Linked DNA regions of Rattus norvegicus. The main gene of each other region encodes a partner of the protein of the gene in region 2 in a complex. Each region holds a gene or a part of one and is shown on either strand. Other genes may lie near its edges. A codon is read from its position in the direction of its gene.

Region 1 (4,490 bases), on a different chromosome or scaffold from region 2:
TCTGGTGGTGTCATGTAGGTAGGCCTGTGTCCTCAGGTATGAAGGCTTCACCTCGTCTGTCCTCAACATACTCCCAGAAAACACCCTCTTCACCCAAGACATCCTCCAGACTGGCCCCAAAAGGATACATCCATAACAGCCACCATGCTCCGACAAGTGTCAATGCCGAACCCATCAGTTTTCAGATCTGGGTCTGAGGGGGGTTAGATGGGTGGACAGGTTGAAGGTCAGAGGTCAAAGATCATCCCAGCCCATACGCCTCTACACCTTCATCACTCCCTGACCCTGGTCACTTACGTCGGGTCACGACCTTGTTGAGGATATTCATGAGTTCTGTAGCGCTGACCTCCATGTCCTGATGGCAGAAGTTAAGTATGGTTCAAGGGAGATGGAAAGAGGTCTGGATACCATAAAACAAAACGGGGTGGGAACTTCCGGTTTTTCACAGTCAGGTAACACCGTGGAGCAGCCACGCAGTATACTTACGTCTCCAGCCAGCTGGACAAAAAGTTTCCTGAACTGACGTTCCTCTTCACTCTCGTTGGCCTCAATATTAGAGTAATGGCTACGTGGGGGCTGCAGAGAGAAGCGATTTCAGAACAGACGTGGAGAAACACGTCTCTCTCCTCATACCCAAGATCCCAGGGAAAAGTCAGGGAGGGGTGGGCAGTTTGAGGTGAGTGTAGCAAGTAGCGTGGCTGAGACAATAGGGGCCCTCAAAAAGGACATTCTTGCCGGCAGGGGAATTTTCCAAGGAAGGAAGGGGAGCCTTATACATAGGAATGGGTAAGATAATGCGGGCAACAGGCCTAGGGAGGAAGGGTCTCTAGGGCCGCTTACCGGGGGCTCCGGGTTGTACTGCGCAGCAGCCTCGCTGAGGGGAGACAAGGGTGAGTTAGCGCATGGGGGCAGAGCCTCCAACGGGCGGCAGAACGGTCAGTCAACCCCTCAAACTCCAGCCCTCCTCTTCCTTAAGGGGTCCCTCCTCCTCTCGTCTATCTCGTCGTTCTCACCTGGCCCAATCAACAGCTTTCTGCGGCTCCTCCTTTTCCTCCATCAGGCCAACCCCTCCCACCTCCCAAGGGCCCACCCCACGGAAGAATCCTTACCTTGCCCCAGGAACACCCACCAATCACAATGTCAGAAGCATCTTAGCCCCAATCAAAATCCCGAAAACCCACCAAACTTAACAGGGCCCGCCCCTTGAAGAACTCGCTTCTTAAGGGGTCGGTCTGCACCAGTTTCCCCTATGCCTCTATCTTCCTCAGGTCAGGTCTTTGTCCAGAGCCTGACTCCATCGCTCCTTTTGCAGATTATCTAGCTTCCCAACCTCTCCCCCATCAACACCTACTCCTCCCAGGAATCACTGCTTGGATCGCCAAAGATAATCAGGTGTCAGTCACCTGCTCTTACCCCAGCTAGGATTTTTATCCACCAACCCAATCAGCTCCCGACCCCACACAACCTTCTCTGGACCATTTCTTCTTTCGGGGGTTCTGATCTCTCCTATAACAGCAAGCTCCACTTAGGTCAAATCTTAAATCATGGAGCAACTTCAGATCCACTGGCTCCGCCCCCAGTGAAGACTGGATACAGTCTTATAGGATCATACCTTCCCCAAACACAGAAGAGTACCTCCTCCCCACCCCCAAGAAACTGCATCCTATTTATTGACCCACAGAAGCAAGTTTACTAACCCAGTTTTTAAAAAGTGACACCAGTCTCGTTGGGATCCCCTTAGGGCCACTTTTCCAGTTTGGACCAGCCCAACCTAATTAGGATTCCCATGTCGGACCTCTAAGTGAGCTTCTTTATAATTTGGCCCACCCTGCCCCTTTAGGCCCCGCCTTACCTGATGGCGCTAATGACTCCGCCCAGGATACGCATGGCTGTTCCACCGCCTCCGCCACCTCCTCCCAGTCCCATGCCGCCACCGCCGCCTCCACCGCCGCCGCCTCCAGCAGCTCCGCTGATCAGGCCTCCGAGCACATTGCCCAGGCCCCCGCCCAGACCCCCGCCTCCCCCACCGCCACCGCCGCCCTTCAAGAACGAATTCACCAAGAACATGTTTGCAGCAGAGTCCTGTAAAGAAAAGGGGGTGGGTCAGGTAGTCGTCTTGCCAAGAACCCAGCCCTTCCCGCAAAAAGAAAAAAAAAGAAAGCATTTCCGGCAATTAGATTGGGGACAGAACAGAGGCCTCGGGATGGGGGCAGAATCTGGACAGGTGACAGGAAGGTGCGAAACCTCCTAGGGTCTAGCAGGTACCCTGGCCCAGGCTTGACTGCAAACGTGGTCAATGAGGACAGGGGTAGAGCTGGACGAGCGTGGTGGCGCTCAACTGTAATCCCAGAAATTGGGAGGCTGAGGCTGGAGGATCAGTTCAAGGCCAACCTCGGCTACAGCGCCAGCCTGGATTACCCCTGTCTTGAGGCAGCGGGGAAACAGGGGATTCCCCATGTAAGGACCCCCACTCCCCAGTTGGGTAAGGTATACCGGACGTGTCTCAGATCCAGGCCTTCCAGAATTGAGCTCAGGGTAGGGGTGACCCAGGGCTGAGTCCAGGAAGTCCCTAATGTGGATTAGGACATTCAGGTAGTTTCGACAGAGGAACTACACTGTCATTAGGGATCTGTGGGACTCCGGCCTAAAATTATGGCTGTGCGCCCGGAGGATCCCGGATAACGGAGTTCTACACACCGCAAATTGGAACCAGGATCTCGGATCGTGGTTCTAGACGCCCCAGATAATTTATGGGTGCCTCTCTGATCTTTGGGGTTATATTTTTGATCCTGAGTTCCGGGATGGCAAGGAGTGCTCTGGAGGGAATGACCAGCGTCTGACAGGCCTGGTTGTTCGGATCTGAGAACACGGGTCCTAAGACCCCCAAGGCCACGACTTTAGGGTCTCGCCAGATCTGAGGACAGCGGATCCCGGGCAGCGGGGTGCAGGGGTGCTGGACTGAAGCGCCCCGTCTCACTTACGGATCCGGCGGTCCGCGGTCTTGCTCGCCCGCCGCTGGGCCTCCCGCTGTGTCCGGCTCTGGAGGGCGGGGCCGGTGACTCAGGCAGCTCCGGGTTAAAGCCGGCTCGCCACCCAGCCGCGGTCCGCGCGGTCCTAGAGCCGCCATTGCAGACTGCGCCTGCGCAGGAGGCCCCGCCCTACGTAGCGGGCTATGATTGTGTCTCTACCTAGCTCAGCCCTCCCCGTACACACACTGCTGGTAATTCAACGCTCTCCAGATTTAATAGCTATGAGTACGAGTAGACCATTCTAACGCCCAGGCACTGGAGCCTCCAGGAACTAGATCCAGGCTACCTGGTCACCTTTGCAGTATATAGTTGCAAAAAAGGACTTCAGTTATTGTCATTCATTCATTCATCGTGCACTTTGAGATAGAGTTTTGTTCAACACCCTAAGCTGATCTAAAGCCCTGGCTCACCTCAAACTCGAAGCAATCCTCCTGCTTCTGCTTCTCCAATGCTAGGACTCTAAATCTTTAGTTTACCTTCAGTTTGTGCCTCCCACCCAGGTCGCCTTTTGGCTTCTAGTCTGGCTGTCTGGCCGCTCCGTTGGGACTATGTAAACCTTGGTTTGAGCCTGTATTGCTCATCCCTAAAACAGTGACCTGGTGTCTCTGAGTAATGATTTCCTCATCTGTAAGGAGGGAACACAGCCAGGCGTGATGACGCACACCTGTAACACCAGCCCTTGGAGGTGGGGGCGGCTACATGAGACCCTCGAGGACGTTAGACACAGGTTCCCCTGGATGAGCCCCAGAATTAAGTGATAAATACAGGGAAAATGGCAGCTCTCCTGTTAGTCCCCAGGTCACCATATTGTTCCCTCAGCTAGGAGCTCACCCCGATCCCTCAGCTCATTTACTCTTGCCCATCCTTAAGCAATATCGACAAGTAACTGCCAGTTCCTCCGTGCTCTGCGCTCACCAGGTTGTGTGCCCTCGCGGCAGGACTGTGGGACAGACGCTGTTATTGTCCCCATTCTATATATAGGTAAACTGAGGTTAAACAACCAGTCTGCCTTACCTGTTCAAAGAATCTCCAATAATTTAATGTGATCATCAGTCAAATAAGATCTCAACGGACAAAATTGCAATGGCACTAACACCACCTAAGGGCTTGCTGGGAGCAAGCCAGGTTAATTGTTGCTCAGGCCTGTGTGTGTGGGAAGCAAGACTTAACCTTAGCGAAACTGGAAGCTCTGAAAGGCGGGATCACAGAGGGTGGTGACCCAGATCTAAGCCAGAGCGGATAAATGATTTGGTGATGACTAATGTGGATTCCCTCTCTGCCACACCCCTCTGCCACACCCCTCTGCCACACCCCTCTGCCACACTAAGCAGTCTGACCTCAGGCTCAACTCACTGGCACAAGCCCTGCCCTCTGCCTACAAATACTCCTGTGTTTGGATTTGACTGTCTGTGTCCTCCGCTTTGGATGGGAGCTCAGGCGTCTCTCACTTGGGAAGTCCTC
Region 2 (3,812 bases):
AATGAAAGTATACATTATAGTATTTACCTCTGTGTTCTTTGTCAGTGGCTTCTCTGGTTTGTCCTTGAAAACAAGGTAGTTTTTTGGTTAACCACAGTTCTGTTTAGGTTCACTCAGTCATAGAGTGAGCATCTATTATACAAAACTGATGAACTAGGCTCCTAACCCAGATTTCTACCAAATCTTCACTTTCATAGCCATTTCAGTAGCTTGATGCAAAGATCTGATTCTGGAAGTACAGAGACTATGTAGGAATTTTCTGGTACCAGGTATTATCATGAATTCCCACCAGATACCCTGGGTTTTTGTTTGGTTGGGTTGGGTGGTCCTGGGAATGAACCCAGAGACTAATACATTCCAGTTTGTTTATTTTGTTGTTGTTTCATTTAAAACAAAAAACAAAATCTAAGTTGCCCAGGATGAACTTCCAATGTTTCTTTATACTTCCAAATAACTGGATGTAGGCCTCCACCACACCTAATGCTCATTACAGTTTCAAAAAATTTAAAGATTATTTTCAGGCAGGAATTGCAAGTACCACTAACTTACAAAGTTCTTAAGGCAAGAGCAATAAATGAAGCTCCTCCAATGATGACAAACAAGATGTGGCAATATCAACATAGAGGATGGTGACTGATAGCAGGAGGCAGATTTATAGGGAACAAGGACTCCTAGGCTTTGGCCAGGGAGAGCCTGCCATACCCATGGCATCTGAGTATACTGATGGAACTTGGACTCCCTTGTTTCCATTTGATGAGCAGACCTGGGAAGAATGATTCATCTTCTAACAGCTCTAAAGCTCTTGTAAATCAAACAGATAAGGGGAGGCAGTCAGATTGGCCTATGTGATGGGGAGATAGACCTGGTGCCTCCAGAGAGGGTTTTTTTTTTTTTCAGGACCGAACCCAGCTAGGCAAGCACTCTACCACTGAGCTAAATCCCCAACCCCACCAGAGAGGGTTTTGCCTGCACTCCAGGTTTCTGCTTGTGCTCCTGTGGAGAAGGGAATGTTGGCTGTTGTGTTTATTTGACCTCTCAGTTCTTGTACCATCCCACCTCTGCTTTCCCCACACAGACTGCTTCTTTGACATCTCATTGATTCCATCAGTTTTAGAGCCTTTTCTTTAAAAAATTTAATTATATATTTCTTGGAATCATCATTATACCTAGTATTATTCAAGTGTCTTTATGGTAGGACCCAAACATGAATATCTAATAAGACCATCTCAAGTAGATACAACAGAGGGCTAAGAAAGCCTGTTTGATACCTCTGGGACATTAAAAGTACTCAGTCATGATGTGCTTTTATTGCTAGATAAATAGCGGCTTCAGCCTCTATTCAGTTTCTGGGAAGTTATAATTGAAAAGTTTGAGAGCAATGACCTAATCTAGGCTGTTTGCCTTAGTTTTACCTTCCCATCATTATCCAGGAGATGCCTATATTCAGGGGGGATGGTGTCGTCTCTTTCTCCCAGTTTCTCGCTATGCTCTGCTTTGATTTTTTCCTACAAACATTGAAGAGATAAAGGAATGTTCACATCCTTCTTTACTTACAAACTACAATCCAAAGTATAGAAACTACAGTTTTTATAGTTTCATGAAGCAAAACATAAGGAACAACAAAATAGATGATAATCAGAGAGCTGATGAAAATTGTGACTCCTTATTTTTCTATACGTGAGCCAAATTTGTGAATTTTCAACTGAAAGGATCAAACAGAAACCCTCAGAAACCTTACTGGTAGTTAAAAGCCCAAAGGGATAAAATATTTTTCTGATTCGATTTTGCTTTACATAATAAAAGTCAGGTTCCAAAGCCTTGGTAGACAGATAATATTTATAGCTCCATTTTAAGGCACTGCAAAGGAGAAAGACTGGAGACACTGAAGCCTGAGCATACCTGCTGCAAGCCACACCCGTCCTGGTATCTTTACCTGTGAGGTTCCCTGGTCTCTATGGAGTAAGGATACACCTCTGTGCAGCATTAAAATTTAGGTTTTAAAATATATGGTAAGTTAATCTCAATATTTATATAATAATGATAGAATGACAATGACAGTGTCCTGTCTTTGTCCCATTGTTTCAGATGCTCGTTACATTACTTTTCTTCTATTATTTTCATTATTTTTCTTATGTGTACGACTTGTGTGCATACACCTATACACATGCACTTGCCACAGCATGTATATCTCTAATGTCATTTTCAACTTTCATTAGGCTTGATATACGATCTGTTGTTTTCCCAATGCACATGACAGGCTAGCTGATCCACAGACTTCTTATAGCTCTCCTGTCTGTGACTCCCATCTCTGTCCAGGCTGAAATCACAGATACTAACACTACATGACCAAGGACTGTACTCATGTTGTAAGGCCATCGTCCCCACTCCAGTTACTTCTTGATTCTAAAATATTATCAAGTCAGTTGAAATGGCTTGTTAAATATTATCTTAAATATACATGTTTGTACACATCATGTAGGAGACAGTTCATTTTGTCCTTCTAGAGATACCTCTGAAGAGTCAAAGTTCTCACACACAGTTTGAATTCAGATTCAGTTATGCTTGCAAAAGAGGGGCAGGGGAAACCTGTGCTAGGTGTGTGATCTCTGCCACTATGAATATAAAGTACATCCACTAAAATTGTATGCCTTTTGGGTAGTATGTCCTTATTTCCAAATAAGACCAAGAAAAAATATTGGGAGAGAAAAAACTTAAAACATAGCTCTGCTTTCATTTCATAAACAGGATGTTTCCTACAATGGAATCTGTTCCAGAAACATTTATCAGTGAGAAAAAGAGAAATATTACCTACAGCACTAAAACAGGAAAATTAGATGGAGCAGGCTAGCTGTTCGCTACCTCCAGATAATACCAATGTCTTTTTCCTTCTCTGTGGAGGGCAAGGGAAGATCTTTTACCTTTACTTTATCATCTAGTGGTTTGTTCTCATCTGGATCAGGCTGTCTTTGTCCAAGACTGTCAGAAAGTTCATCCAAGGCATCATCGAGTTCTTTGTCTCTCCTCTAAAAGGTAAATAATTCTGAATTAGTTATAAGCAGGCCAAATTGTTCAGGGAAGTCACCCAGCAAAGCCATCTTTTTAACATGGACATCTAGGAGTAAGTCATGGGGCCAGTCAATGTCAGAGAACTGATATGCTGACAGCGGAAGAGACAGAGAGTAGTGAAAGCATCTGCCTCTCCTACCCAGCTGCATCATGAAAGGTTAAAGAAGTCTTAGTGGAAGTATCAATGCTGTACCCAATGAATGAGGTAAATCTTACCTAGAGGTTCCATAAACAAACACTGCACTTTCCTTCCATTAAGAAATCAAACTTAATTTGAATCCACTGATGTAGTAAGCTAGCACAAGTTTTCAGGAGATCATGATGGAGGTGGGGGAGGGGCACACATTACTAAGTACACCATAAAACTCAGTACCATTATCCTGCTATTTCTTGGAGCACAAAAACCCACAGAAATATGGTGTCATTGATTGAACAGGTTGTCTCTGACAAATTATGAGGGTTCACAAAAAGACTTCAGAGAAGTTCTGAACTAGTTGGGATTGTCCCTACCTCCAGGAAGACCATTAAAGCTAAACAGAAGAAATTAATGAAAGGTATTTTAGGGGAAGAAACTGATCAATAAACTATGGTGACAGTCAAGCTAACTAAAACAACACTTTATTTTACATTTGTTTACATTGTTTACTATGTAATTAGCCCTCCAGTCTGAGTTTTCTTAGACTGGGAGAGAGGACTATATGTTGACAGTAATAATAAGTAAATAATGCATCATTATTGATCTTGTT

What was found.
Region 1: the proteins of Cast (region 2) and Capns1 are in contact, whole or in part, in a crystal structure (PDB 3BOW), measured with the Rattus norvegicus proteins. Residues at the interface, in NP_445747.2 of Rattus norvegicus: Pro652, Ile653, Asp654, Ala655, Leu656, Ser657, Asp659, Leu660, Asp661; in NP_058814.1 of Rattus norvegicus: Phe103 (codon at 519), Leu106 (codon at 510), Gln109 (codon at 501), Leu110 (codon at 498), Ile125 (codon at 322), Lys128 (codon at 313), Val129 (codon at 310), Arg132 (codon at 301), His133, Leu136, Phe166, Trp170, Lys174, Gln177, Lys181.

The regions. Positions count from the first base shown.
Region 1 is NC_086019.1:94,579,203-94,583,692, forward strand, and holds the start of Capns1 (calpain small subunit 1), read right to left. Parts: upstream 3,020-4,490; 5' UTR 2,982-3,019; intron 2,083-2,981; 5' UTR 2,068-2,082; coding exon 1,853-2,067; intron 875-1,852; coding exon 841-874; intron 577-840; coding exon 487-576; intron 356-486; coding exon 298-355; intron 194-297; coding exon 129-193; intron 1-128. UniProt on the Homo sapiens protein: Regulatory subunit of the calcium-regulated non-lysosomal thiol-protease which catalyzes limited proteolysis of substrates involved in cytoskeletal remodeling and signal transduction. Essential for embryonic development.
Region 2 is NC_086020.1:5,715,870-5,719,681, forward strand, and holds part of Cast (calpastatin), read right to left. Parts: intron 3,024-3,812; coding exon 2,919-3,023; intron 1,506-2,918; coding exon 1,413-1,505; intron 64-1,412; coding exon 28-63; intron 1-27.